Linked DNA regions of Callithrix jacchus. The protein of the gene in region 2 interacts with the protein of the main gene of each other region in a biochemical or structural test. Links are inferred from orthologs where the notes say so. Each region holds a gene or a part of one and is shown on either strand. Other genes may lie near its edges. The genes, in order: PTX3, CFH and CRP.

Region 1 (10,088 bases), on a different chromosome or scaffold from region 2:
GGAAGCTAAAGCTTAAAACAAGTCTATAGTTGTTCATTCATAACAATATTAACCGTGCTGTTTACATAATAGTATCGGAAAACTAATTGCCTACTTTAAATGAAGAGAGAAAAGTATGCGTTTGCTTCAAGACATCTCTTAAATTTACAATTAAATGACAAGAGTTAGTTTTATAAAATATTTTATTTACAGTAGAGCTTTACAAAAATAGTCAATAAAATTAATACAAATCCCTTTTACAATATAACTTATATGACTATCTTCTCAAAAAAGTGACATTCGATTGTAACACATAAACTACGTTTATAGTTATTAAGTCACCTTGTAGTATAAATATGTTTTCATCTTCTTTTTTCGTAATAAAGTTCATACCAATAACAATGGACAATGGATAACAAATCTTTTGTTATTCTTCTAATGTAAAATTAATCTCTGGCCAAAACAAAATTAACTGAAGAAAAGTAAAACAATTGTCCTTCTGTTCAACAATACAGTCCTTTCTAATTATTTGAAAGTTTATCTGACAGAGACACAGCATTAAACTGAAAGCACCATGGCATAAAGTCTAGTAACATTATCTTCAAAAGCTTTTTCCAATGTCTTTCCTTCAACTGTTTATTCAGTATTTTGCCAGTATAAATAAAGATTGAGCTCAACTCTCTACTTCATTAGTCTCAAGTGTTCCTATTATGCATTGAGTTTTCAGACCTTCCCAGCTGGCATGTATTTTAAGTGTGAGTTTCTTTCTTTGGCTTCAAGTGGAGTTTTACAACACTTATGAAACATACTGAGCTCCTCCATGTGGCTGGATCTCTGTGACTCCCCACCCAACAATATTCCCCCGGATGTGACAAGACTCTGCTCCTCCGGTCTCTCTTATCTCTTCATTGCTAAGAACACTATCCCAGATATTGAAGCCTGTGATTCTCCCAGAGAAGGCTAATGTTTCATCAAAGCCACCACCCACACAGCAGCCATTCTTTTCTTGGCCAATCTGCAGGATTCCTCCCTCTGGAACAATGTGACCTATGGCCATCTCAACAGTGGTAGCCACCAGTTCACCATTTACCCACAAGGATGTGAGCCCTTTCTCTGAATTCCAGGTGCCACACAGGTGAGTCCACCTTCCTAATGAAACCATTGCTTCAGCAACCAGCTTGTTCTCCTCTCCACCCACCACAAACACTATGGACTGGTAGCTGAGATACAGCTGGATCTCATATGGATTCCTTTTTGTGCCATAAGAAAACAGTATGGTTTTGTTTAACATGTCTGTGGCTTTGACCCAAATGCAGGCACTAAAAGACTCAAGCCTCAGTGGTCTCACTGGATGCACGCTTCCAAAAATCTTCTTGGAACGCATTGGGAATAAAAGAGCTGTTTCACAACCTAGAGTGGCAAGAAGAGAAGAATATTAAAGAAAATAAAAATTTATTCAAAATGATTCTGGTATTATTTTAACATAAGTATTTTAATAACCATAATTGAAAGCTGTATGCAATCCTACATTATGACTTAAGAGGCTTCAGGTGTAATCTCTGCAGAGCAAAGAAAATGAGAAAAAGGAAAGCCAGTTGTCTTATCCAAGGAAACATCTAAAAGAAGAGAAAGCCTGCAAATAGAAGAGCCAACTAGTCTTAACCCACAAAATAATAAAAGACATGACTACCTCCTTTCCAATTTGCATATTTTCTGTTACTGCCTTAAAAAAAAAAGTTGAATCACTATCAGTTAACTTCAGACAATAATTCTATAATTTCCAATAATTCAGAGCCCAGCCTGGTTCTCTCTTTCTGCCACCACCAAGTTCCTAAAATGATAAACCTATGAAATTCAGTAGACCTAGTTTGCTCCATTTAGCCTTTAACAACATGCATTTTTCAGCAAAATTCTAGAATAGTGACGTTAATGCAGAATATATTTTAATATACCAAATATTTGCAAACTTTGTAGAGTTTTTAGAAAACTACCTTTGAAAGGCAACAATGTATAATAATGATGACTAAATTTACTGGGCATTCATGATATGCCAGATACTGTTCTAATCACTTTGTATGTCATTTTAATCCTCATGCCAATCCCAAGAGATCGTCTTTTTTATTCCTGTTATACAGATGAGAAAACTTAGGCAAAAGTAACTTGTCTATGTTACTTTTATGTTATGTTGTCTATGTTACATAGCTGATAAGCAGTAAAATTAGAGTTTGAATTTTTGCGGTCTGGTTGCAAAGGTCACACCCTTAACCAGCACACAAAATTGCCTCTATATTAATAGAACACCTAGATTTCTCTAGGAGGGCTAAAATTCAGATGGTGTTACTACTAATGAGCTGTGTAACTTTGGATGAGCCTCATAATTTCTCTAGGCTTCACTGTTATCTAAAAAAGGCCCTTCCATTCTGCTCCTAATATTCTGCAAGTCTGTAAGCAGCCAGTGTGTTGCACTTAAGAGCTGAATAGAAGAACGTTTAAAAATTCTTACTTTGTCCACATGCTTATAATTACTATTTAAGTAGTAATAGAAATTCTTTAAGAAGAGTACATTCTTTCAAGGGGCCTGATTGAAGAACATGTTTCTGCTAAAGAGCACTTAGGAGGAGGACTTTCAAATTTGAGGTGGAAAGCTCAGTAAGTTTCTACCACTGTCCATCTCAAGGCCACTTAGCCATTTGGGAAGCTGGAGATGCTGAAACAAAAACTGTTTACGTGTCTCTGGGAAAGAACAAGTGAGCTCTTCATCTATCTATCTAAATATTGAAATAGCTAGCTATCTGTGTGTGTGTGTGTGTGTGTGTGTATACCTATATATATATACATATATGTGTGTATATACACACATATAATTATAGCCCTGAGCCACTTGTAGGAATCTGACATATTTTATATATTATATTATATAAAATTATATATATCTAAAATACAAATACACACATATGTGTATATATGTATATATGTGTGTTTTTGTATATATATGTGTGTGTATGTATGTATGTATTTTTTTAAAAAACACCTAAATTAGGGCTAGATATAACAACCTAAAGAAGATTTGCCATAAGACAGCTTTGAAAAGCCAACTCCCGAAATGGTTCCAGAATAACTGGTAAAGAGACAGAACTTGCAGAAACCAAAGATCCATGTAAAAGTGTGGTAAACTATGTCAGATTCCTACAAGGGATCAGGGCTAGGCTCTGTCCAGAAAACATTAAACAAATATGGACCTTATCCTTTAGTATTAGGGATAGTCAAATAAAATATTGACATTCAGAAAATCATGTAAAAGTAACTACAATACTAAAACACAAAACTGGCCCTGTTACTTTTACTGTTACTGGCCTTTGATACTTTTTCACTAAATAATTTGAACTTTTGAAGATTTTTTAAAATTAATTTTTGATGAGGCACTGATTCATTTTTTAAATGACATTGCTAGGTACATCTTTTTTTCTAGCTATGTTAATTAAAATCAAATAAAAATCACTGAACAGAAAATCACCACATCCTTGGGCATTTGATATAGTCTCTATAAAGTTTCAGTAAAGTAGCATTCAAGAGGGTGCCTACTGCCATCTAATTAAGTGATTTCCTCTTTAAATAAGCCCAGGCAGTCAGGATTGCATTCCAAAGCACTCCTTGATTGCATCTCAGACTCAGCTTCTCTCTAGGCTACACTGGCTACTTAAGTTCATGGATAGATGAACCACATGTTGGCTATTTTGGGTGAGCTTCTTTTTGGGAACCAGTGATAACCCAAAAGTTATATCCATTTCATAAGATAGTTTCTGATAGAATCTTAATACCTTTTCTTTAAAGTAGTAAGAGCCTTCTTTAAAGAAGAGGCTCTTAAAGGCCTTCTTTAAAGAAGACTCTTAATACTTCTTTAAAGTATCAGAAACTCTTATGAAATGGCTGATAACTAATAGGTTTTTCTGATTATCGAAGACCAAACAAAATTAAAGCCAGGTTCTTAGGAGGCTAACAACAGAATGGTTAGGAGCCAAGTTGGCTGGAGACCAAGAAAAGAGAAACCAAAGCATATTGGTAAAAGTATTATCGATGTAATAAGGATTAACATTTTAAATTCAGAAATGCATCCCTCTTCTGCTCTAACTAATGTGCAAAGATGAAGATTAAAAAATAGAGTAATTCTTCAGTTTTTCAGGTGCATTATATGTACAATGACTTTGTTTGCAAAACACATTTCATTCATTAAAATGGCTGCAGAATTCTAATTTCTCTCCTATTACATTGAGAATCTACTGTACTTTTGATTTTATGTTTTTTTCTCCTCTGAAGCAGTATTTGATATTTACTGATAAGCATTCCTCAAATATTTAGAAAATATGGTATAATTTCTCTAACTTTAAGTGAAACATGCCCTCAAACATGCTTCTTCTCTCCCCCCATCCAGCAAAAGTGGTTTTCTTGGAAATATAGGGAAGAATTCTCAGGAAAATTGCGATTATATTTTCTTACCTAGGACACTGATTTTCTAATATAATCCAAATTGATTGTGACACCACCATTTCTTAGAAGTTTTGGCATACAAAGGAGTATTGCTAGGCTCCAAGTCTTCGATTTCTTTCTTTTAACCATCTTTAGAATGTATTATTTTGGGAACTCATGTCTGTTTAGAGATTCATGGATACTTTGAGAAGTTGCCTCTGGTTTGAACAGTCTCTCTCCTGTTTGGCCCAGTTCTCTGAATCCCTGGGGTGGAGCTGGGATCGCCTTCACGGATTGGCTCCCACACTTGACTGTTCCACGCTGAATCTCAAACCGCACACCCTCTGACCTCCCCTGTCGCGCTTATTCCACAAACCCTGGAGGCTGGGGGATCCCTGGAGAATTCCGCTGACCCTTCGGGAGATTAGATTCAGCCTCAAGTTTCTTGCTGAGAATGGGCGGAGAGGAGGGGCCGGCTGAGGGGCTGGAAAACATCCCTAAACGTTAGCCTGGGCCCCGAAATAGTGCGGGAAACCAGAGCTCCTCAAAAGACAGAGGCAAGATAAAATTAGAAGACGTGAAAATCCCTAACGGAGGGAAGCTGGGCGGCGAGATGGGTCACGGTTATAACCGGCCAGTGGACCTCCTGCAGCGTCTGATCAGAACGGGTGTCAGGGCCCTAGAAGGCTATTTCAAGACTGTGATGGTTACCTCCACAATTTTCTTTAGAGTTCCTTAGGACTGAGGAATACTTTTTTAAAGCCTATTTTCCTGCCTTGTATGGTGTGTCTGAGCTCTGTGCCGTGCAAGGAGAAATAGGGGTGTGTGTGTGTGTGTGTGTTTCCCATGAAAGCTTCCCCTAGAAGATTGCCTGGCTTGACTCGCCGTTACGCGCGCTCCCGGAACAAAGCCGCAGGGGGAGGTCCCGGCCCAGCAAGCCTCCTTACCTGCCGGCAGCCAGCTCCGGGCCGCCCAGCCCTGCACCGCGCCCAGCTCCGCTCGTGTCTGCCGCAGCTCCTCCAGCACCGCGGCCAGGGCGCGAACCGCCTCCTCTGGGAGCCGCGCCTCCGCGCCCTCCAGGCGCGCCAGCCTGCGGCCCGCGTCGCGGCTCGCCTGCAGCAGCTCCTCCAGAGCACCGGCCAGCCTGGCCTCCCCTGGGGCTTCTGGCGCGCACGGCCTCGCCAGGCTGCCCGCGAGCTGGCCTAGCTCCGCCCGCAGCCTCGGCAGCTCGCCCCGCAGGACATCGTCCGTGGCTTGCAGCATCATGCCCTCTCTCATCTGCGAGTTCTCCAGCATGATGAAGAGCTTGTCCCATTCCGAGTGCTCCTGACGGCAGTCGCACGGCGTGGCTAGAGCGCGGGATGCACACACGTTACCAGCCCGCCCAGGCCTGCCTAGGATGTGCTTTGTAAAAGCTGACCTCCCTCGGTGGTGCCAAGTTGCAGCCCGTCCCTGGCATCTCCCTTGCCTTTAAGAACACCTCCGAAAAACAGCACGTAAATGTCTCAAGAACAACAGAAATCATTCATTCAGGTGTAGATTAAGTTGTATCCTATGAAATCGCCGGTTATGTAGCTCAAAACAGTCAAATATCGGCGATTTTATATGACTCAACCCATTATGTACGTTACAGAAATAACTTTGAAACCTCCCTCTTTCTTCAAGTGCTTCTCACTTTGGCAAAACAAACTAAATATTTTAACTCGTCTCACTGGCTACAAAGTATATATGTGTATTATTCAGACCAAGACGTGGATATGTAGTCAGGGTTAGCAGAGAAACATTAAAGTGAACTTACGGTCCTCAGTGGGATGGAGTCCATTGTCTATTTCGTTGTCCAAATTCACATACATGAGATCATAATCGTCCGAGTTTTCGGCCAACACCGCAGACCAGAGAGCCCAAAACAGAATCGCAAGGAGATGCATTGCTGGAGAGACGCAAAGTTCGTTCCACGGCTGGTGGGAGGAGACTCTCAAGTGAACTGAGGTTGAGCAGAGGAGAATGAGAGTGAGAGGCTGGAGGAGAGAGCCCTTAATAAATGCTGGGGAAAGCCTGAATGGGGATGAATGAGTAATGCTGGTGGCACTGTGGTAACGGGAGTTCCCCTGGATTTGGTGGGGGAGGGGGCTGGGTGGGAGGGCGAGGGAAATGTGGAAGTTGCACAATAGTAAACCACAAAGGTTTACACTGCAGTCAGATTCAGAGTCAGAGGGGAAAGAGGAGAGAAACTGGGCTTCCACTATTCTCCTGAGAATTAGCTGTTGTAACATGAATTGATAGCAATGAAAATGAAGAAGGGGTAGGGGGAGTAATTTCAGAGGATAGTGAAGGAATTCATCATTTCAGCATTTTCTGTGAGCTGTTCTTATTTCATAAACTTTCCATGTTTCCTTTGTACACTGTTTTACAGGTTAAAAATGAAAATGGTCTGATTCCAAGATAAACCAACATATTGAGAATTGTTATGGCTCTGGAAGTCAAGTCCAATCCAAGCTATCTTGTCTTTAATCCTTCTGTTGTAGTTGCACCTATACTTTTATAGACACACTTTTTAAATGATAAACACCGTACACCTGGGTAAACCTAAATGGGGTGGGGGTGGGGTGGAAGCTGGAAAAAAGGAATATACTTATTTAGCTACTTAGGTATTTTTTTTCATAACTTGGTATTATGCAGACATTATATTACTCTACAAGGTGTAGAGGCAAGGATCCTATTTTAAAAGTAAACATAGAGATTTTTGCTTTTAACAATATATACAGGTCTATGTTCACATGATATTTATTAATAAAAACTTAAAAGATACAGATGGGCTCCCATTAAAGTAAGGGAAATATCCAGGAGCCAAAGAGAGAGAGGAAACCAAAACCAACAATCCCATGAGCTGATGCTAGGGCCCCTCTGGAATAGGAATGAAGACCGTTAGGGGTTATTAGTTCTATAATCACCAAATGTTGATGACCATGTGGAAGCAAAGCTTAGTTCAAAGGCGGAGAATTAGAAGAGACCTTCATGAAAGCCAGGAACCTAGAGGGTTAAATACTGTATTTCAGTAGGTACATTCTACTCTGCCCTAACACAAAAAGGTAGGAAGCAACCATGTCTCTCTTTGAACTCTACAAGGTCCCTCTGAGTTTGTGAATTTGGGCCTGACCTCAAACATGTTTGGAATTCCAATGTATACTGTCCGCCACTGTAAAAAAAAAAATCACAATGATATTATGATATTTGAACATGTGAGGAAGCAAACCACTATAAATGAAAATCAGCAGAGACCAAAAAGAATTAGACACCTCTCCCCAATAATTTTATTTATTTGAAATATCAGCCAAAGGCTAGAAAATAAATATGTTTAAAATTATTTAAGCTCTAAAGGAAGGAATTGAACATACAAGAAAAGAATAAGACATTGTCAAAGAGAAAAAGGCAAGGTGATTTTTTTCAAGAACCGAATATAACTTCTAGAATTAAAAAAAAAAAGGCAATTAAAATTTTTAAAAGCTCAAGGCATGGATTAAGTGGCAAATTAGGCAAAGCTGAAATGAACATTAATGAACTGGAGGACAGATATAAGAAAATAATCCAAAATGTACAATTTTATGTTCAGTAAAAGTATTCTAAAATCCTTTCATTGTTCAGAAGGATGATAAAGAAATTTATTAATTTTGCTTTGTTCAAAAAAATTAGTTACAATTTCCAGGACAACTACCAAAAGGACATAGACATCCAAACTGAAGGAGCAGGGGGAATGTTTAAAGAAAGACTTGATCTATTGAAAAAAAAAAAATTGGGGCCGGGCGCAGTGGCTCACGCCTTTGGGAGGCCGAGGCAGGTGGATCACGAGGTCAGGAGATCAAGACTATCCTGGCTAACACGGTGAAATCCCATCCTACTGAAAATACAAAAAAATTAGCCAGGTGTGGTGGCACACACCTATAGTCCCAGCTCCTCGGGAGGCTGAGGCAGGAGAACCACTTGAATCCAGGAGGTGGAGTTCACAGTGAGCAGAGTTTGTGCCACTGCACTCCAGCCTGGGTGACAAAGCATGACTCTATCTAAAAAAAAAAAAAAAAAAAAAAAAAAAATCAGTGAAGGAGGAAAAAATAGCACAAAGAAGGTAAGTAAAAGGTACAATATTATGTCCTAAAAATAAATCAAAATATACCAATAATTACGATAAATGTTAATGAAACACGTTTTCCAGTTAAGAGACAAATATTTCTATTTGTCATATAGAAATATTTAGGCTAGGCTCACATTCAGAGTCCCAGTACTCTGGAAAGCCAAAGTGGGAGCATATCACTTGAGTCCAGTAGTTTGAGACAAGTCTGATCAACATAGCAAGACTCCTGTCAGTATAAAAAATTTAAAAATTAGCCTGGTGTGGTGGTGTGCACCTGTAATCTCAGCTACTCAGGAGGCTGAGGCAGGAGGATCACTTGAGGCTGGGAGGTTGAGACTGCAGTGAGCTATGATCATGCCACTGCATTCCAGCCTGGGTGACAGAATGAGACTCACTCTCTCTCTCTCTCTCTCTCTCTCTCTCTCTCTCTCTCTCTCTCTCTCTCACACACACACACACACACACACAAACAAGAAAAAGAAGGAAAGAAAGAAAAAAGAAATATTTTAAAATCCGGCTATACAAAACTTATAAAAACAACACATAAAGCCTAAGAAAGTAGAAATATTAAAAGTTAAAACCTTTAAATTGAAGGGGAGGAAGAGAACATACCAAGCAAGTGCTATTCCAAAAAGCTAGCATAGCAATAGTACTATAGGCAAAAAATAGACCTAGGCAAAAGAGGATAGTTCACTATGATACAAAGAAATACTTTAACAGGAAGATATCTTTGAATTATCTAGCAACATAGTTTCAAAAAATATATACCAAAGATTGACAGAATTATAAGGAGAAATGGACAAATTCATAATCATGGAGGGAGATTTTAACATAACTGATAAGTTCACCTATGTCATAACTGATCATTCGAATGCCAAAAAAAGTCTGTCAAAGCATACAGAAACTTCAACTACATAAAGTTTGATATAATAAAATATATAGAGTACTGCCCAGATGGTTTGATGGGCAAGTTCTACCAAACATTCAAGGAACACATAATCCCCATCTTACACAAACTGCTTCTGAGAATGGAGTGTGCAGAAATGTGCTAAATTCGTTTTACATGTCTGCTAAGTATGATACCAAAAAGAGACAAGGACAGTACAAGAAAGAACTACAACCTGTCTCATCAAGAATGTAGATGCAAAAGCTCTAAATAAAGAATTCATCAAACAAACACAGCAATATGAATAAAAATACACATTATGCACAGCAGTGTGCATAAAAATATATTATAACCAAGTTGAGTTTATTCCAAGACTGCAAGATTGATTAAATGTTGGAATAGCTATTAATTTATTACATTAACAGTTTAAAGGAGAAGAATCATCATATCAACAGATGAGAAAATTGTTTGATAAAATTCAACACTCAAAATAAACTAGAAAGCAGACAGGAACTTACTTAAACTGAAAAAAGCATAAATACCAAAACCGATAGAAACAGATACATAGGTCATTGTAAATCCTTGGAAACATGCTTTGTAAAAACAGGAATAACACAAGGATATATATCCATG
Region 2 (10,114 bases):
CTTTCAAATTTTAAGGGGACATTATTGACATGCAAACATCTAACTAATCACTTATTTTCAGTGTCAATATGTCTTTTAACTGTTACTTGCAAAGTGTTTTTATTCAAATAAAATAATTCATTATAAAATTACATATTTGGGAAAACCTTATTCAAATTTGTGCCAGATTGTTTTGGTAGACTAAAGTTGGTCTCTTTGTTCATTTATTCTATTTTCCTAGAATTATTTTGTGGGAAAAAAACAGGAGATTTTCTTTAAATAGCCTGCTTCTAAACTTAGTCGATATCAGAATATATTATAAAGCAAAGTACAAAATCAATTTTAAAAGAAAAAGGAAATGAACAAAATAGAAATAGCAAAATAGATATTTTGCATTAAATTTCCTTCTTCTCACTGATTTATATTAATATTATTTATACAATCATCTTTTGGTATGTGCAGGGTTATGTATTCCAGGACTCTCACATATGCCAACATCTGCACATACTCAAATTCTACAGTTGGCTCTGTGGAAACCACACGTACAAAAAGTCAGTTTTTCCTAAGCATAAGTTTTGCAACCCACCAACACTGTGTTTTTGACCCTGGTTTAGTTGAAAAAAAATTCACATAGTAAGTGGACCCTGAAGTTTAAGCCCATATTGGTCAAGGGTTAATTCTTTATGCATATACATTATATAATCCAATAAGCTTTTCAAAATAAGAAATGTTCAAATTATTTTATAAATAACATGAGAATAACTAAAGATCATTTCAGAAGTTATATATATATATATATATATATATATATATATATATACACACACACACAAAAACACACCTGTGTAAAAAGAGGAAACAAACTCCAGAAAAAGCAAATAGAGATTATGTTACATTTACTAGGCATTTGCGAAAGAAAGAAAAAGAAAAAAAAGAAAAGAAAAAACATTAGCTGGGTGTGGGAGGCTGAGGCAGTAGGATTGCTTCAGCCCAGGTGGAGGAAGGTGCAGGGACCTGTGATCGCACCACTGCACTCCAGCCTCAGGCAACAACACGAGATTCCAGTCTCAATGACAACAACAGCAAATTAACAGTGAAAAGAGAAAAAAAAAACTCCAGGATCATAAAAAGCGTATGGGAGAATAGACGATAGCCATACGAAGTTAGGTGGAATAACAAATATGTCATAATTAGAAATGAAACAAGATACTATCGGAACACAGGTTGAAATTCCACAACTTTCTTGAAATGTGTAGTATTTGAATAGCTAACTCCTAATGCCAGCTATTGTTCCAGTCACACAAAGGGAACCACAGGGAGACAGTAAAATGAGGACCCCAAAAATAGGGGGAAAAAAACAACACATATTGTACCATGTATTACTAAGTAGCACTTGGGGAAGTTGAAGTGATGGAAAAAATGAACGAGCGAAAGAACAGATAAGTAAAAATGAAAATATCTGGAAGCCTTTCCATTATATCTAGATTACGGACAGCCTGTAGAAAAGGCGTGGTAGACAATAGCAACTAGAAAATATAAGAGAAGACAAGGTGATAACTGTCTAATGCACTTAAAGCTCTGTTGCAAGAACCCAGGAAACATTAACATTTGTAATTCCACTGTACATCTGACCTGTGTGTCCTACATGGTTCAGAAGTTTCTGAAAGAAAATTTCTATAATCACTTTTCTATCTACTACATTTCCAGTTAACAAGGTTTGGGAAAAACTTGGCTAAGTTAAAATGCAGAAGAAATAAAAGTGTTCTGTCAGATCTTTTTTTTTCTGTTTTATTGTTTCATTTTTTTGATGTTCAGCTACTTTACTTCCTCTGAGCTATCTTTTTATGTCTCGTTATAATTTTAAGCTAAAATGCAACACTTTTTTTGTCAATTACGTCATCCCCCATCCATGTACCATGTTTTGTGAAGAAATGGGTAAAGTACACATTAGTCAACTGAGCACAGGATAGATTGGGCGGCAGAATCTCAAAGGCCTGGACAGGTGGGAGATGGTATCTGGGGGGAGGAGGAGGAGGCATAACTGGGAAGAATGAAAAGAGGCAAAAGAATAAACAATTGGGGATTAAGCAAACAAAAGTGGGTCAGTGTAGACTGGCTCAGATCTTAGAAACCAAAGACCACACATTTACTAATCTGCTTTTATATTTGGGAACTTACTTCTACCTAAGAATAATTTTAGTTAGCAATACTTAGATATTTCATTTTTAGTTTAAATTATATGTAGGCAAAAGAGTAGCATATGCATTCCCAGGATATGCCTAAATTTAAAATAAGCAAAGCTTGCCTTGGCAGACATCTCATGCTCGTGCCATTTCTGTGGGCATTTTCTTTTTCTCTATCCCTTCTCTTATAGACTCACTATAGCACTTCAATCAGCAGATCTGTCCTACCTGGGAATACCGCATCTTGCAAAATCACTTTGTCCTATTCTTACCCTCATCAGCATCCATTTCTACCCTTTCCTGCCCACTGAACTTGTTTCAGGGAAGTTTTCAGATTATAATAATTTGAAGTAAATTATGAATAATACTAAATTTAACTGTCCTAAAGTAGGTATTCAGTGTATGTGTCATTCTGTGTAAATGACAAATTGGTTAAATTCATGGTAATATTAATATCAATATGTAAAGTATTTTAGGAGGACATGACCTATTGAAGATAACTGGGCCATTGCACAACTTTAAATCAACCATATAGGTACCTACCCGTACTGTGACCTCTAAAAATGTAGGGGCTTGGGGGAAGAAGGGGGAATTCTTATTTACCACACTGAAATTCAAACATAAAATTTAGGATTTTAAAATATTATTCTCCTTTCTCTGATCATAATGGAATCCTTCAGTCTTTGATCTATAATGTCTGTTGGGAACTGAGATGATGTTTTTGCACTCTAAATCTCCAGGATTAGAAACCATGTCTGCCTAACAACACAGCCAGTATTTACTTGAACATGTTTCAGTAGAGTTTTAATTTATTCACTTTAATCATCTTGGAATTTCTGGGCTGTGGCCTAATTTCACATAGGACACAATTGTTAGACCCTAAATTTAAAAAAATCTGCTTGGTCAAAATACAGTGAAAAGCTTGGTAATAATATAGTTCAAAAAAGTGAAATTAGGTGGTACGATTGAGAAACTGCTATTTGAAACTTTGTCCTGTAAATATGACCCAATTCTCAGTAGCTTGCGGTAACTCCCTGAGCTATAGACTGTTACAACAAGGAGGCAATTAATGTTCCTATACAACTGGCAATGTGACCGTACACAATGTACTGCATTATAAAGGTACTATGTAGTCCCCAACATATTTTTTTAGAAAATAGAAAGCTGAAATTATAAATTATTCCTGCTGGCTATAATTTTATTTTTGAGATGGAGTTTCGCCCTTGGTGCCTCGGCTGGAGTGCAATGGCGCCATCTCAGCTGACTGCAACCTCTGTCTCCTGGGTTCAAGTGATTCTCCTGCCTCAGCCTACCGAGTAGCTGGAATTACATGCATTTGCCACCATGCCCAGCTAATTTTGTATTTCTAGTAGAGATGAAGTTTCTCCATGTTGGTCAGGCTGGTCTCGAACTCCTGACCACAGATGATCTGCCCAATTTGGCCTCCCAAAGTGAATATTCACTTTTAACAGGGCAGAAGTAATGCTAAAATATATGCAGTTGAGTAAAGCAGATTGTGATGGTATTCAAACTGTCTTTTCTCAATTTAGTATTCAGTGTTCAATATGGGAAATATAAACTGAAGCAAATATTGAAGTATATGTGAGTATGTTTCATGATCAAGGCTACTCTGTTAAGTCAAAGTTTGTTAGATATGGTAGATTAATAGAATTGATGGACATCTCAAACTAGTTTAGTTTTAAAGAGTACTTGGGAAACAAGGAATAAAACAGGAATATGATATCCACTGAAATTTTATGTACTTTTTCTCAATTGACTTTTGCATTACATGTGCTTTTTTTTTTTTTTTTTGAGACGGAGTTTCGCTCTTGTTACCCAGGCTGGAGTGCAATGACGCGATCTCGGCTCACCGCAACCTCCGCCTCCTGGGTTCAGGCAATTCTCCTGCCTCAGCCTCCTGAGTAGCTGGGATTATAGGCACGCGCCACCGTGCCCAGCTAATTTTTTGTATTTTTAGTAGAGACGGGGTTTCACCATGTTGACCAGGATGGTCTCGATTTCTTGACCTTGTGATCCACCCGCCTCGGCCTCCCAAAGTGCTGGGATAACAGGCTTGAGCCACCGCGCCCGGCCGATTTATTTCATTTTCACTATGAAATAATCTAGTGCTGATGTTCAATTCACCAGTAGAAACTGATATCACATTTAAATACACATTGATGAATAATAAAATTCAAGTGAAACAACCCAGTAATAATCAATTATGCAAATAAGTTTAAACCACTACTGTTTAATTATCACATATAATTTGATGTACTCTATTTTAATATTTCAAATTCAACTTTTTAATAACTTAAACTTTTTATTAAACTCGCCATTGATTCTTGATTTTAAAGATTAGAAATAAAACAAATCTCCTTCATATGACAAATGATATCTATGTAAAATCTGAGCAAACAGTATGTACATATGAAATATTAAAAGCATTCCCTTAAATTTAGTAAGAAAAGACATAAATATTTACACAAAGAAACAGAAAAAGATGTCTGTGATGATTGATGACGTTGACATTGTTCTGGAACTGTTGGCAAATACAAAAATATTTCATTTTAAAATAGTAATTGTAATATTTATATGTACAAGGAAATGATTTCTTCATTTAAAAGTGGCTACATATAAAGTTTACAAGCCAAATAACAGCAATAACATTAGAAAATAGAACTGAATGAAAGTTCAATCTTTCACAAGGTATTAAACATATTTGAATGTTTTTTTGATTAGTGAAGGATAAACTATAAAAACATATCTGCCTTTATTTTCTAGATTGGAAGACTCAAACAACAGAGAGACTTTGTGTACTTGCTAATTTTCTTCAGTTCCTAGAGGCTATGTTTAGTGCCTCAATCAAAATTTTTTGACTACGTGAAAAGTTTTTGGAAATTATGAATAATATGTAATTTATTTAGTTTAAAAATGTTGATCAAATATCTTTCACATAACCGGTTACTTATCACAGACTAGGAAAGCAAACCTCCAAGAATAAGCTTTTTAATCTGTCAAGAAGCAATTATACATTTAAATTTTATTATGAATCCAGAAATTGTCTTGCTGATGTCAGAAAAAAACTCCTACACTTATATTCACTATACTAAAAGACTGCTCTTCAAGAATATCTTATTTACAACGACAGGAAAAAAATCCCTATTGAACAACTTAACTGTTACAAATATTGTATATTCAATTGTGTTTTAAATGTACATAATATTTTATTCTGATAATACAAGTAATGCTTGTTTATCAGACTTCTAAAGTTATGGCAAGCACAGTTGTAAATGATAAATGAATTTTTCTTTAGAAAGAGTAAAAATCATATCTGAAATAAATCTAATCATTGTGATTTGATGGCTTTTATTGACTATTCACATCCTTCACATCATGATTCATTTTGGTTATACTTCTAAGCAAAAAAATAAGTTGTATTTCATGATAACTACAAGGGACATGATTATTACACATTATAGATTTTCAGAAACAATTGTTTAAATATTTTCTAAATTTTTATATTAAATAAAATGAAGATAAATATTCAGATATACCATTCAAATAGGTACTTACATTTTTTAAACTGAACAATGTCAAAAGCCACTCAATTGTTAAGCTACACAATACTTAAGCACATTCTAAATCAAATTTTATTACTACTGTGAAAAGCATCATTAGCAAATGTTTCATAATACAGTTTTAGAAAAACAGTTCTCCTCTTTTAATCTTACCTTCTGCTACACAAACAGCCCATAATATAAGGCAAATAATCTTTGCTGGAAGTCTCATTTTTTTGGTCTTTTACGAGAACATTTACCAGCTCACTCTGTTTACAACGTCCAGTTCTCCTCTTCCAAGAATTGTGATTAGTGCAGGAAAGAACTTGCTGCAAAAGGAAGTTGAAACTAGATGCTCAGCCTATCAGAAACTTTTGCAAAGTAAACAAAAAAATCATCCACAAGCCCAGCAATCCCAAAGGCTGAACCTGATTCTCAGTGCACTCCCACTGAATGTTAATGCTGTGACCTGCTCTTGGACTGTTTCTTATTAAGCTTGGAAAATGTTCATGTTCTTAGTGTGTGCAAAGCAACAGTTGGTGACACCCTCTGGATTTCATAAACCCTTCAATTATTCAGGCCTATTATGTATAAATCTCAGAACAGGAAATAAGAGACACTTTAAAAGAAATCACTTAGAAAACTTTAGTTTAGGCAATGTTTTCACAATCAGCACCCAGGCAATGTGTACAAACTTTGCCCAAGAATGAAGTGCTAGATGATGTGGAGCTCCTGCTTTTCTAACAATTCATGAAATTTGTTTTCTAAATGATTTTTATATATGTGTATGAAGCAACTGGCTCACTCTCATTTGACATAAATAGGTTTCACAATCCATAAATCAACAAATTGGAATGCTGATTTTTAAAAATGTGTATTACAGTATAATGTGTATAAGGAAAACATAAATAAATCACATACTGAATATTGAGAAGGTAAGATACCTATGAAACCCTTACCAAAGTCAAAACACTGAACATTATTATTTTCCGGAAAACCCCAATACTACCTTTTGGTCAATACTCCTCTCAAGCCTCTCCCACACCCCCTGACACACAGAATCACACACCATGATTCTGATCTGCAAGAACATGGAATATATTTGTCTGGTTTTTGTATTTTGTACAATGAAAAGGAAGCAATTTACTCTTATGTGTAGAACTTTTCACTAAAAATTATGTTTGGACCATGCAAACAGATTGTTAGATGAAGTTATAAATGGTTAATTCTTACTGTGATGAAACATTCCATTTTTTGAATATTTCACATTTTGTTTGTCTGTGTGCCTGTTAGTGAGTATTTGAGCAGATTTTAGTTTGGAGCTGATTATGAATGGTGCTGCTATGAGCATGATGTTACGTGGTTTTTGGTAAACACAATCCACATTTCTGGTAAGTGCATACTTGGGAGTGAAACATTAGGACGTAACGTACATTTAGGTGTAATGGATAAAATTAGACAATTCTCCAAAAGGATTATAACACTTGACATTTCTATGAGCAGTGTCCAAGTTTCTCCATACCCTCAGAGATACTTGATAATTTTAATCTTCCTAATTTTAGCCTTTCTGGTAACACAAAGCAATAATTCTCTGTGGTTATAATATGAATTTTTTTGATGACTAATTGAAATATGAGAGAGCCCAGATTTCCCTTGCAGGACATGTGGCAGGGGTGCAACTCAAACCCCTCACTGGAGGGGGGCACACAGATGGGCAGGTACCAGAACTGGGGTGAGTGCTTTCCGGCTCTGGTGTCACGGTAGCATCAAGGCGTGGGTATCTGCAATTCCCGAAGCCCAGGGGGGCTTTGTCATCTACAGACGGTTTGTGTGTTAATCAGCTCAATGGACCCTCTTCCTTATCTCATGGTTGGGGGACAGTATAACAGCCTTCTGTATGTCAAGCTCTTGCCCAGTGTCCCAAAAGAATCAGATCACTTGGGGGCTCAAGGAAGGAGGGCAAGGTTGTATTGAGTGGTGGAGGTGGCTGTCAGCGAGATGGAGTGGGAAGGTGGCCTTTGGCCAGAGTCAGGCCTCCCAGTGGCTGGACTCTTCTCTAACTGTCCCAGGCCGAACTCCCCTCATAGACCAGATGTCCCTCCTCTCTTTCTCTGCTGCATCATTCTGCCTTTGCTGGTCTGCTGGTCTGCTTGCCTCCTCATCTCCTCATTTGCAGGTCTGTTCTGGAGCTTGGAGTTTTGGGTTTATATGGGGGCAGAACAGGAGGGCATGGTGGGCCAAAAGGCAACTTTATGGGTGTGAAAACTGAAATGCCTGTCATTTAGGGCCACAGGTCTTCAGGCTTGAGTGTGGGGCCTCTGCTGGTGGACCATTTCCCTGTCTCCTGTCCATATCATCTTGAAATTGAGAAACTTTCCTGTGGTAATTGGTAATTTAGATATCCTCTTTGGTGAAGGTTCTATTCAAATCTTTTGCATCTTTTTTTCCTTATTGTCTGTCTTTGACTTATTGCATTACAGTAATTGTTTATAAATATTTATATATTCTAGATATGAAAATATTCTTATAATATGTATTATAAATACCTTCTTCCAGCCTGTGGGTTTTCTTTCCATTCAGTATTACATGTCCTTTATAAATAAAATTCCTTAATTTTAGAGTAGAGCAAATTTTCAAATTTTTTTCTATGATTAGTGCATTATGTGTCTTATTTAATGAAACCTTGCCTAATCCTAGAACACAATGCTTTTCTTCTAAAAAAATTAATTTATCTTTCACATTTAAGACCTTTAGAACAACTATAATTGTCTTTTGTGTATAGTTTAATAAAAAGCTCCAAGTGCATTTTAAAAATAGAGTTATCCAATTGTTATAGCATTATTTAATGAGAGTATCATTCTTTCCTCTGTATTGACATGCTTTCACCTTTGTCATGAATCAGGTACTGGATATGTGTAAGTTTATATCACCAAGCTGTTCTTAATGTAATAGTCTGTTTATTTTTAAAACTTTTCTAAATGGCAAATTTCTGGGAAATTTGGCTTTCTAATTATCTTTTAAATTGATATCTTGTTTAATTTCACTGTGGTCAGAAGACATATTCTAAATAATTATACTGTTTGATGAGTATTTCTTTATTCAAAATTCTGTGTCAGCAGATCAAGTTTGTAATTCCTTTGTTAAAATATTTTATATTTTTACCATGTTTTTATCTGCTTTTTCTATCAGCTATGGAAAGGGTGTATTACATCTCCCATTATAAACGTGGTTTTTTGTATTTCTCTGTTTAATGTTGGCAATGTTTATATATTTTAGGGCTTGATTATGCTTGCATACGTATTTAGAATTGTGATGTCCTCCTCTTGCATTGGTCATTTTCTCACATTAAATGGCTCACATTAACTCTTATTTTGCTTCCAGTGGAAATTTTACATTTTATTTTATCTTATTTTCACTCATTTATTAAAAAGATAAGGGTTGAAGAGTTAGACTTAGTCTTTTGTTCTGAGAAAATAAGAAATAAAATAGCACATGTATGTTAACAATCAAACAAATACGAATTCTGAACTATCGTTCTGAAGTTTAATTTGATGTAACTGGTAACACATATGTTGACATAATAGATCATTTAAACTTCTTTATTCCTTCCTTAGTTTTATCTATTTGAGTATGAATTCAAATATCTTACCTGGGCTTAACTTTCCAATAGCCGTTTCTATTCTAATAGCAATATTATCACTTGGAGAGTGTTTCAGAAACTTTTCAAGATTAATATTATTGAGTGTTCATTATATACCAGACACAGATCTAAGCACATTTATTCAATACTTAAAGCAACACAGTGAAATAGGAGACTATTACTCTTTCAAATGTACAGGTGACTGAACTGAGCCACATCTAAGCAACTCCCTTAAGGTCACAAGACATTGCTAGTGCCAATGGGCTAATTCCCAGAATTTTACTTTGAACATACACAAGTCTGCTTCTCAAATGGTTTGCTTCCTATGCTATTAAATTAACGTAAGTTTAACTGTCAGTAACTCTTTTATGTATTTAAAAATATGGTAAAATATTTTCATGTGTATTCTAGGGTATGCTTCATGTTTATTTATTTCACAATTATACACATACTATAAAGGTATTGAATGTACACACACACACATACACATATTTATATGTTTGTGGATAATTTAAAGTACATGCAGAAATAATTTTACTATACAAATCATTACCTAATTTGCAATTGTTGAATGTAAAATGCAAATCTACTATCCAAGTAGAAATAATGTTCTGGAATTAATTTCAACAAATATCTTTCAGATGTACTATTTTTACTATTTTTTCTCTGTTCTACTTGTTTTCAAAGACTGATGGCTAAGACATCAATTGAGTGTTTTTGTTTCCTTTCTTTCCATCACTATTTTTTAAAAC
Region 3 (9,949 bases), about 34 Mb from region 2:
ATCTGTAAAATGAGGACTATAAAATATTACATACCTCATAGAATTGTCATTAAGCAAGTAAATATATTTAAAAGACTTAGAACAGTACCTGGCACATGGTAAGAGCTCAGTAAGTGTAAGATGTTTTTGTTTGTTTGAAGACTGTGTGTGATCTTCCCTGTGTGATTAAGCAATTATCATCCTGGGGGCAGTAATGAAACTTTGTGAGATCTATTAACTGTGTATAAAGGACAGAGGGGTCCACTCTGAATGAGTCCTGAAAGAATGTACCAGAGGAAGGCCAAGGGGATGACCTGAGTACAGATGCACTAGATGCTTCCTTAAAGGTGACCACCTGCCCACAAGCTTAGTGGGAGGCAGGGATGTCCCCGAGATAAGACATCTGAGCTGTCAGGAAAACACTAAAATTCTGGCTCTACAAGCACATAGCATAACAGGGCTTGTGATCCTGCACATTCCTGAGCGCTAACCCCAGAGAGTCTACTCCAGGAGGGCTGGGGTCAATGAATCCATACTCAAACACCCAGATGACAAGGATGCCTGCAATCAGTAGACTATAAGTTATCACTGGTCCAGGAGATCCAGGAAATTTGAGCTAGGAGTTTCCATTCTGTGAAGGAAAAGGCTAACAAGCCTACTTAACCTGCATTCCAGTACAGAAGAAATGAAAAGATGCATAGATAAAATAGAGACAGGGAGCTGAAAATAAGGAATCCAGGCAACTTATGACAACCCATCTGAGACTACCAGGCAGTTGTCCCAGGATAAAACTACCTAGAAATCAAAGCCGTGCTTCTCTTTTCCCTGGGATTCTAGTGATCAGAAATCTAAACTTTGGAAATTTTGTCTAGGTCGTGATGGTGGTGGTGTTTAATGATCTAGAGTCATTTGCTTTCTTTGTCAATCTTTGCTTCCCTGGGGCACATCAAACTTGAGAATAGTGAAAGCACAGGGAGAATATAGCAGATTTAACGTGTTACTTATTTTGTCGGCTGAGACTCCAAATCCATTTCCATCAAATCCCAGCCTCACTTTTGAGGCAGCCTGTAGTACCTCCTCTAGGGCCTGGATAGACCAGTTCTCACCACAGGGTTGGCTTCTCCTCCACTCACCTGGCCTTACATGCAGCCCATTCTTAACCATGCTCTCTCCATGACCACCTCTTTTTGGAGAGTGTGCAAGGCCTGTTGCCTGGCCAATGAGCTAATATTTATTTCTGACACAGGGAGATATTAGGTTTCTATGTTGCATTCCACACTAAGGGGCTTACATTAGGATCAGGCCTGGCCCTAATGCTTACAGCAACATGGCTATTTTCAGTTCCAAAAAGAAAGTGTTCTATCAAGTAGCAGCCTCCATTATCTCTGATTCATACTGTTGGTCTACTTGCTCTTATTTGGCCTATAAATGCACTACAGTATCTCTTCAGGCACTGGGCCACCACCCCTCTTTCACCTCATTTCCATTATGGGTTTTATAGACCATTTGGTCTTATGTCTCTTTAACTCATTCCTTGAGGCCTGATTCTATTTCTGGAAAAACTGGATGCATAGTTCCTACTCTAACAGAAAACCAGTGCTGATGACACGGCTTTATTAGTATCAGCTAGAAATGGCCATGGTGGATGCTTGATCTTACTCTCCATTTCACACACACAAAAAAGCACCGCTTAGAACCAGCATGCCCACATCAGAGTCATCTCTTTTGGCAGATGTCATCTAACATCTAATTGGATTATATCTGATAGCTCTATATGGTATGACAATTCACCAGTTACCTGGAAATACATTTTCCAACAAGATTATAATGAAGTATCCACCAGTAGGCTCAATTGCTTAAATTTGAACATCCTACAAATGCTTTGTTAATATTTTTTAATGTTCTCTGAATGCAAATACCAGTTGTTAAAATCTTCCTGGCTGAAATTATTAAGGCCAGAGACTGTCCGCAAGACTACATATAATAAGATACAAGTAATTGAATTCTGAAGAAAATATTACCTCAACCCACACCCCTGGGGAGTTGGGATGGCCTTCTATAATTAAGACATATCTGGATTCTTTAACTAGAAAAGAGTGGCAGTCCTCTCTTCTGCTTAGCTGACTGTGAGGATGGATGGATCTGCCCGAATTGGACAACAGACAATGTTTGTACTCTCATTTTTGTCTGAGAATGTATCCTTAACTTCTACGCTTACAAAGGGTCATCAAAACTCAATTAGTGAAGTCAACATTCACAAATAATGGTTTCAAAGATTTGTTCTTCATCTTTCTAACATTCTAAACTTAATTCTTAGTCAACGAGAAACTTCAACTACTGCCAACCGAGACAAATTCTACCAAGTTGTATTTTTATGGCCTATAACAAGCCTATGTTTACGGATATAATACAAAATAGCTTAATAACAACAATAGCAGAAAACTGCTAAAATAGTTTGCCTTGTGCCAAGCACTGTACTAAGTGCTTTGCTTGCATGATTTTCTTTGATTCTTATAGCAACCCTTTGAGCTAATTACCATTTCTCCTGTTTTGTAGGTAAAAAAACTGAGACATAAAGAGATCATATTACCCAGGGTCATATGGCTAGTAAGTTGTAAAGCCAGAATATGGCCGAGGCAGTCTGATTCCAGAACCTCTGTGCTTAACTAGCTTGCCATATGCCTCCTCTAGATGACCATTTAATACGCGGGAAGCCCCATAATTCATTCCTGGCTGTGGTTTCTATGGAGTAACTTCTACTGATCACTTAGTGCTGAAAGGCCATGTTAAAGGACGCTTCTGGAGGAAGCAGCAGCCGACACCTTTGAGGGCTCTGTTTCTACAGAGAACCTGAACGAACCAAGGCAAGTGCATTCCAGTCACTGAACCTGGCAGCAGATTCATGGATCACAATGATCTTTAGCTTTTGTTCCTCAAACTGGAATAATGACACAATGAGAGTATTAAAACCCCTACAACTGGCATCACATGAATGGCCAGCTGTCTCAAAAGAGGGAATGTGCTTGTCAGAGGCCATCCCTGCAGGGTCTCAGACAGGTTAGAGTGCCATGGACCTGTTCTGTAATGGGCAGTGTAAACTTATACAGACTTGGTTTCAAAGGTCTTCAGAGAATTTAGTCACAGCCTCTAAAGCAACCATCAGAAAACAGTCTGGACTCACTCAAGTAAGCAGGAGCTTTATTGGCTTATGGATCTAGGCAGTCCAGGTATAGATGTGGTTCTGGACAGGCTGATTTAGAGGCTCTACGTGGCCAAGGCTCCATCGCATATCAATCCCTGGGCTCCCCCATTCCCAGTTTGGCTTCTGTCTCCACAACCTCTCTCCATGTGGCAAACAAGATAGCTACTGGTGGTCCCAGGCTCACGTCCTCTCAGCTTGGAAATCCAGCAGCAAGAAGATTTCTCACTCCCAAAGTCTACAACTCAATCCTTGGGAAGACTATAATTGGTCCTGCTAGGAACATTTAATATCCAAGAACAACCTCCAGATAGGGAGCTGGGGAGATAGGAGATGGGCTACTCTGACAGGATGCCCTGTGTCTCACGTCTACTCTTGCATCCTGAGTATATTGAGAATGCGGGCATGAAGAAGGAATTCAAAGCCCCACAAGGTTTGTGTGGAAAGGGGCAGAGGGGGTTCCCAGAAGAACCATAAAATTAAGAAAGCACTGCAAACAAGCAAAAACCATTTTTATGCACATTCTTGGCAGTAACAACATATTATACCTTGTGCCTCATCTTGCTCTGGAAAAAGGCAGACCTCCTCTGCTAGGGCAATTCTAATGGCTTCTCCCGTGTGCTTTGAGAACGTGGAGGAGCTGTGCAGTGTTGCTGGGCTTCCCATTCCACGAGACCTGGACCCAGCAGTTCCATAGCGTGATGCTGAGCACTCTGGACCCAATCCAGATACCTGGCCAATGTCCTGGTTCTGAGAATGAAGAGTCCTGTGAATGTGGACAATGCCCTCCTGCTTTCTGGAAGTCCTGGGCAGGAAATTAAATAGAAGACCAGTAGTTCCTTCTCAGCTCAGAGATGTCCTTGCCTTCTGACTTTAAAAACAAAAAATCATTTCTCCTTTCTGGGTTTCAGTTTTCTCATCTATGTGACGGTAAGAAATTAACTCCAAGATCTGTCCAACTTAAGAAGAAATAAAAATGAAAAACAAAACACCTGAAATTCTGATTCTCCTGGACAAAGCTTCCCAGCGTAGTTCACAAGGTCCCAGGCCAGACACTTTGCCTGTGTTCTCAGGTGCTGAGGAAAACGGAGCAGTCCTGCAATGCGTATATGGGAACAAAGGCCCAGAGACAGAGATGTGGGGCCCATGTGATGTAAAAAAACTGGGAACCACCTCCGGGACCCACAGCCCGGCCTCAGGGCCACAGCTGGGGCTTGGTGTACACTTCACCGTGCACTTCATACTTCAGTGCCCGCCAGTCCAGGACATTAGGACTGAAGGTCCCACCAGCATAGACAGTGTTAATCTGATCTGGTGACAGCACAAAGTCCCACATGTTCACATTTCCAATGTCTCCCACCAAGGACTGATTTGTCTCAAAGCCCCCACCGAAGGAATCCTGCTCCTGCCCCAGGATGATGCTTGCCTCTGTCCCCACAGTGTATCCCTTCTGCAGACTCTTCCTCACCCTGGGCTTCCCATCCAACCAGAACTCCACGATCCCTGAGGCAGACTCCCAGCTTGTACAAATGTGTACTGGAGCTGTGACTTCGGAAGTCTCGAATAACACTTCAGGCCCACCCACTGTAAGAGTGTATCCTCTACCCTTAGACCAAAATATGAGAATCTCATTAGATTGTTTCTTGGTGGCATAAGAGAAAATGCTGTGCCCACGGGTCAAGGACAGTTCCGTGTAGACGTGCAGGCACACAGTGAAGGCTTTGAGAGGCTTCGTTGACTGTGCTTTGAGGGATACATAGGAATTATCCGACTCTTTGGGAAACACAAAAGCCTTCGTGGACATGTCTGTGAGACAGAAAAACAAGTACAAATGAGAAGTTTCTCAGATCACAAAGATCTATCCCCTCACTGATAGAGTTTAAGATTGAGAAACTGACCCCTTCCCCATTTACACACACACACTCACACCACACACACACATACACACACACGTCGTGATGAATCTTCCACTGTTCTGTTCACCCAACCCCATACCTCAGATCAAATCTCTCCCAAAGCCTGGGGTGGCCCATACCTGTCTGGCCAAAAGCATGAGAGAAGCTGGTCAAGACCAGGAAGTACAACAGCTTCTCCATGCTCATGCCCCGCTGCCAGTGCTACAGGGATCTGAATTCACTCCTTTGCAAAAGTTGTATTTGGCTGGAAGTTCAGGGGCTAGAAGTCCTAGATCTCTTGCCTCAGAGCTACCCCCTCCTGCCTGGACTTATATCCAAAGCAGTAAGGGATTTTATGCCACTTTGTAAATGATTTTCCAACGTTGCCTCTTGGGTCAAGTGTCAGGGCTCCAGGATGGAGGGAAGCAAAATCATTCCGGAACAGATAAATCAATATGGGTTATTTATTAGAAACTCTGATGACTACTGAATTACCAATTCTTTGTGACAGGAAAAATGAAGAAACCTCCCAGGGTTTCAGTTTGGCTATCCATCCTGAGAAAATAATGAGAAATGTTAACATATTAAATGAGTGGCCATCTGGGTGCACGTGGTAGCTGCCTCTCCAACACCTACTTCAGCCCAAATCACAGAGTTTCACAAAGGAAAGCTGACAGCTTCTGGAGATGGCCCTGATCACTAACCCCTTTCGTAATCCGCTTGTTTACAGATTGGGAAATGAGAAGAACAAACATGCCCTTCCCTAAGCCCTGGACACATTTTCTCAGCCAATTGAATATACTTATCTAGAGCTCTCTAGACATTTTGGCACTAAATGGTGGTCCTGGCAGTAAAAGTCCAGTGAAACGTTTGCCTGATCACAGGCAGAGCATTATGTCAGAGTTTCTTCCTATAACATCTTTCTCTGAATATGTAAAGCTTCCAGCAGGAGTCTGGATAAACTGATTCTACTACTTCCTCTGTTCACAAGATTCAAGTAATCCCTTCACACTGTCTGACAGTCTTACTACAGTTCCCTACTTAACTCACTCTTCCAAATGACGATTACGCCGCTTCTCCTTGCTCCTCAAGTCTCATTCATTCTTTCACTCAGCTGATGAACTCACCTTTTGTTGAGAAATTAAAAGCCATCAGAAAAGAAGCACCATATCTTTTGTAGCAGAGGCTTCTAGTCACTCCCCCACATCCATTCTCTACTTTTCATAAGAATAACATTTTTACTTGGGCGCTTAGTCGTCCCCTCAAACACCAAATTTCCCAGCCCCCACTGTAGCTTGCAGTGATATGATTAAATTATGGCCAATGAGATAGGAACAGAATAGGGACAATCTCTAGGTTGTGCTCCTTAAGAAAGGTATATGCTTTCCGCTCCCACCTCCCCCTTTTTTCCTTTGGCTAGTATTCAGTCATGATAGCAGGAGATGGAACAGTTCACTTTCAGGTCAGCAAGTGTAAGCTGCATGTTGAGGTTGGCATGGCAACAAGATACATAGAGACTGGATAATTGAGTATGGAGCCACTATATCAGCTCTAGACTGCCTACCTGAACATTTACTTAAAGGAGAAATATTCTCCTCTTTTGTAAAATCGCTTTTAACTCAGTCTTTCTGTTCTTAACACCAAACTGATATCCTTATACATCCTCCTACAACCCAATGTACCAGTCTTTCCATCTTCCTCTATTAAAAGGGATGAGCTCTCCCTGCATTATGTCTAAGGTCAACCCCTGCACTTCTTCAGTGGATCCCAGACCCAGTCAACCATTCAAGGAATTTTGCTCCTTACAGGTATCCTCTCTATTTTCTGCATTATTAATGCATTCATCTTTACTTGATCATTTTTACAAAACCATGCTATAATATATTTAATCTTTTAGAGAAAGAAGAAAGAAAAGAGAAAAAAGGAAGAATGGGAATGAGAGAAGGGAGGAAAAGCTTATGTGTGCTTCCAACCTCAATTATCCCATCTTCTGTTCCCTCCTCAATCCATGGAAATCAGGCCTTGGCTTTCACCACTCTAGTGAAGGCAACATAAACACATCTCTCAGTAAATTTAATAATGCATTTTCTGTTCTTACTTTACTCAGCTTCTCAGAAACGTTCAACAGTTTATAACTTCCTGCTGAATTCTTGTTCATAGTGTAAAAGTGAAATAATTTCAAGGCTTTATGCCTAAAAGAAGTGGTCCTCTGTCCCACCACTCCCCATCTGATATGGTTTGGCTCCATGTCCCCACCCAAATGTCATCTTGAATTGCAATCCCCACATGTCAAGGGAGGGACCTGGGGGGAGGTGATTAGATCATAGGGGTGGTTTCCCCCATGCTGTTTTCACATTAGTGTGTGAGTTCTCACAATATCTGATGGTTTAAAAGTGTTTGGCAGTTCCTCCCCACTCTCTCTCTCTCCTGCCACCTTGTGAAGAAGGTGCCTGCTTCCCCTTTGCCTTCTGCCATAATTGTAAGTTTCCTGAGGCCTCCCAGGCCATGCAGAACTTAGTCAATTAACTCTTTTGTTTATACATTCCCCAGTCTCAGGTAGTTCTTTATAGAAGTGTAAAAACAGACTAATACAAAAAATTGGTACCAGGATAGTGACATATTGCTATAATGATTCCTAAAAGTGTGGAAGCAACATTGGACCTGGTAATGCACAGAGGCTGGAACAGTTTGGAAGGCTCAGAAGAAGACAGGAAGATGTGTAAAAGGTTGGAACTTCCTGAGTTTTGTTGAATGGTTTTGACCAAAATGCTGATAGTGATATGGACAATGAAGTCCAGGCTGAGTTGTCCTCAGATGGAAATGAGGCAATTACTGGGAAGTGGAGTAAAGGTCACTCTTGCTATACTTTAGCAAAGAGACTGGTGGCATTTTGCCCATGGCCTAGAGATCTGTGGAACTTTGAACTTAAGAGACATGATTTATGGTATCTGGCAGGAGAAATTTCTAAGCAGCAAAGCATTTAAGAGGTGACCTGGCTTTTTCTGACAACATACAATCATATGTGTTCACAAACAGATTATCTGAAATTAGAACTTATAATTAAATGAGAAACAGAGCATAAAAGTTTGGGAAATGTGCAGCCTGATCATGCAGTAGAAAAGAAAAACCTATTTTCTAGAGGAAAATTCAAGCTGGCTGCAGAAATTTGCATAAGTAATGAGGAGCTGCAAAACAATGGGGAAAATGTCTTCAGGTCACTTCAGAGATCTTCATGGCAGCCCCTCCCATCACAGACCCAAAGGCCTAGGAGGAAAATATGGTATCATGGTCCAGGCCCAGGGCCTCACTGCTCTCTGCAGCCTAGGGACATGGCACCCTGCATCCCAGCGGCTCCAGCTCCAGCCATGGCTAAAAGTGGGCTCAGGCCATTGCTTCAGAGGGTGCAAGCCCAAAGTCTTGGTGGCTTCCAAGTGGTGTTGAGACTGCAGGTGCAGAGAAGACAAGAATTGAGCCTTGGGAGCTTCTGCCTAGATTTCAGAAGATGTATGGAAACACCTGGATGTTCAGACAGAAGTCTTCTGCAGGCATGGAGCCCTCATGGAAAACCTCTACTAGAGCAATGCAACAGGGAAATACAGGGTTGGAGCCCCCACACAGAGTCCCCACTGGGGCACTGTCTAGTGGAGCTATGAGAAGAGGGCTATTGTCTGCCAGACCCCAGAATGGTAGATCCACTGACAGCTTGTACTTGTGCTTAGAAAAGCTGCAGGCATTCAACACCAGCCTGTGAAATCAGCCACAGGGGCTGTACTTAGTAGAGCCACAGGGGTGGAGCTTCCCAAGGCTATGGGGGCCTACCACTTACATGAATGTGGATGTCAGACATGGAATCAAAGGAGATTATTTTGGAGCTTTAAGATTTAATGAGTGACCTGCTAGATTTCGGACTTACATGGAGCCTGTGGCCCCTTTGTTTTAGCCACTTTCTCTCATTTGAAACAGGAACATTTAACCAATGGCTGTGCCCCCATCATATCTTGGAAGTAATTAACTTGTTTTTTATTTTACTAGACTAACAGGCAGAAGGAACTTGCCTTGTCTCAGATGAGACTTTACACTTGGACTTTTGAGTTAATGCTGAAGTAAGTTCAGTTTGGGTGACTGTTGGGAAGGCATGATTGGTCTTGAAATGTGAAAGGACATGAGATTTTGGAGGAGCCAAGATGGAATGATATGGTTTGGTTCTGTGTCCCCACTCAAACGTCATCCCAAATTGTAATCACCATGAGTCGAGGGAAGGACCTGGTGGAAGGTGATTGGATCATGGAGGTAGTTTGGCCCATTCTGTTCTCATGATAGTGAGTGAGTTCTCATGAGGTCTGATGGTTTAAAAGTGCTTGGCAGCTCCCCCCTCACTCTCTCTTCTGCTGCCTTGTGAAGAAAATGCCTGCTTCCCCTTCACCTTTCACCATGATTGTAAGTTTCCTGAGTTCTCCCTAGACTTGTGGAATTGTGAGTCCATTAAAAATGTCTTTTGTTTATTTTTTTTATTTATTTATTTTGAGACGAAGTTTCGCTCTTGTTACCCAGGCTGGAGTGCAATGGTGCAAACTTGGGTCACCGCAACCTCCGCCTCCTGGGTTCAGGCAATTCTCCTGCCTCAGCCTCCTGAGTAGCTGGGATTATAGGCACACGCCACCGTGCCCAGCTAGTTTTTTGTATTTTTAGTAGAGACAGGGTTTCACCATGTTGACCGGGATGGTCTCAATCTCTTGACCTCGTGATCCACCCGCCTTGGCCTCCCAAAGTGCTGGGATTATAGGCGTGAGCTACCGCGCCCGGCCCTTTTGTTTATAAATTAACCAGACTCACGTAGTTCTTTATAGCAGTGTGAAAACCAACTAATACACCATCC

Evidence for each region.
Region 1: the proteins of CFH (region 2) and PTX3 form a complex in vitro, tested with the Homo sapiens proteins (3 studies listed by IntAct, with this or other methods). The link is inferred for Callithrix jacchus from reciprocal best matches to the Homo sapiens genes CFH and PTX3.
Region 3: the proteins of CFH (region 2) and CRP form a complex in vitro, tested with the Homo sapiens proteins (12 studies listed by BioGRID and IntAct, with this or other methods). The link is inferred for Callithrix jacchus from reciprocal best matches to the Homo sapiens genes CFH and CRP.

Annotation. Positions count from the first base shown.
Region 1 is NC_133518.1:28,113,756-28,123,843, forward strand, and holds PTX3 (pentraxin-related protein PTX3), read right to left. Parts: upstream 6,456-10,088; 5' UTR 6,372-6,455; coding exon 6,242-6,371; intron 5,793-6,241; coding exon 5,391-5,792; intron 1,390-5,390; coding exon 776-1,389; 3' UTR 165-775; downstream 1-164.
Region 2 is NC_133519.1:53,164,654-53,174,767, reverse strand, and holds the start of CFH (complement factor H), read right to left. Parts: upstream 6,030-10,114; 5' UTR 5,955-6,029; coding exon 5,897-5,954; intron 1-5,896. UniProt on the Homo sapiens protein: Glycoprotein that plays an essential role in maintaining a well-balanced immune response by modulating complement activation.
Region 3 is NC_133519.1:19,659,236-19,669,184, forward strand, and holds CRP (C-reactive protein), read right to left. Parts: upstream 5,379-9,949; 5' UTR 5,281-5,378; coding exon 5,214-5,280; intron 4,985-5,213; coding exon 4,374-4,984; 3' UTR 3,157-4,373; downstream 1-3,156. UniProt on the Homo sapiens protein: Displays several functions associated with host defense: it promotes agglutination, bacterial capsular swelling, phagocytosis and complement fixation through its calcium-dependent binding to phosphorylcholine.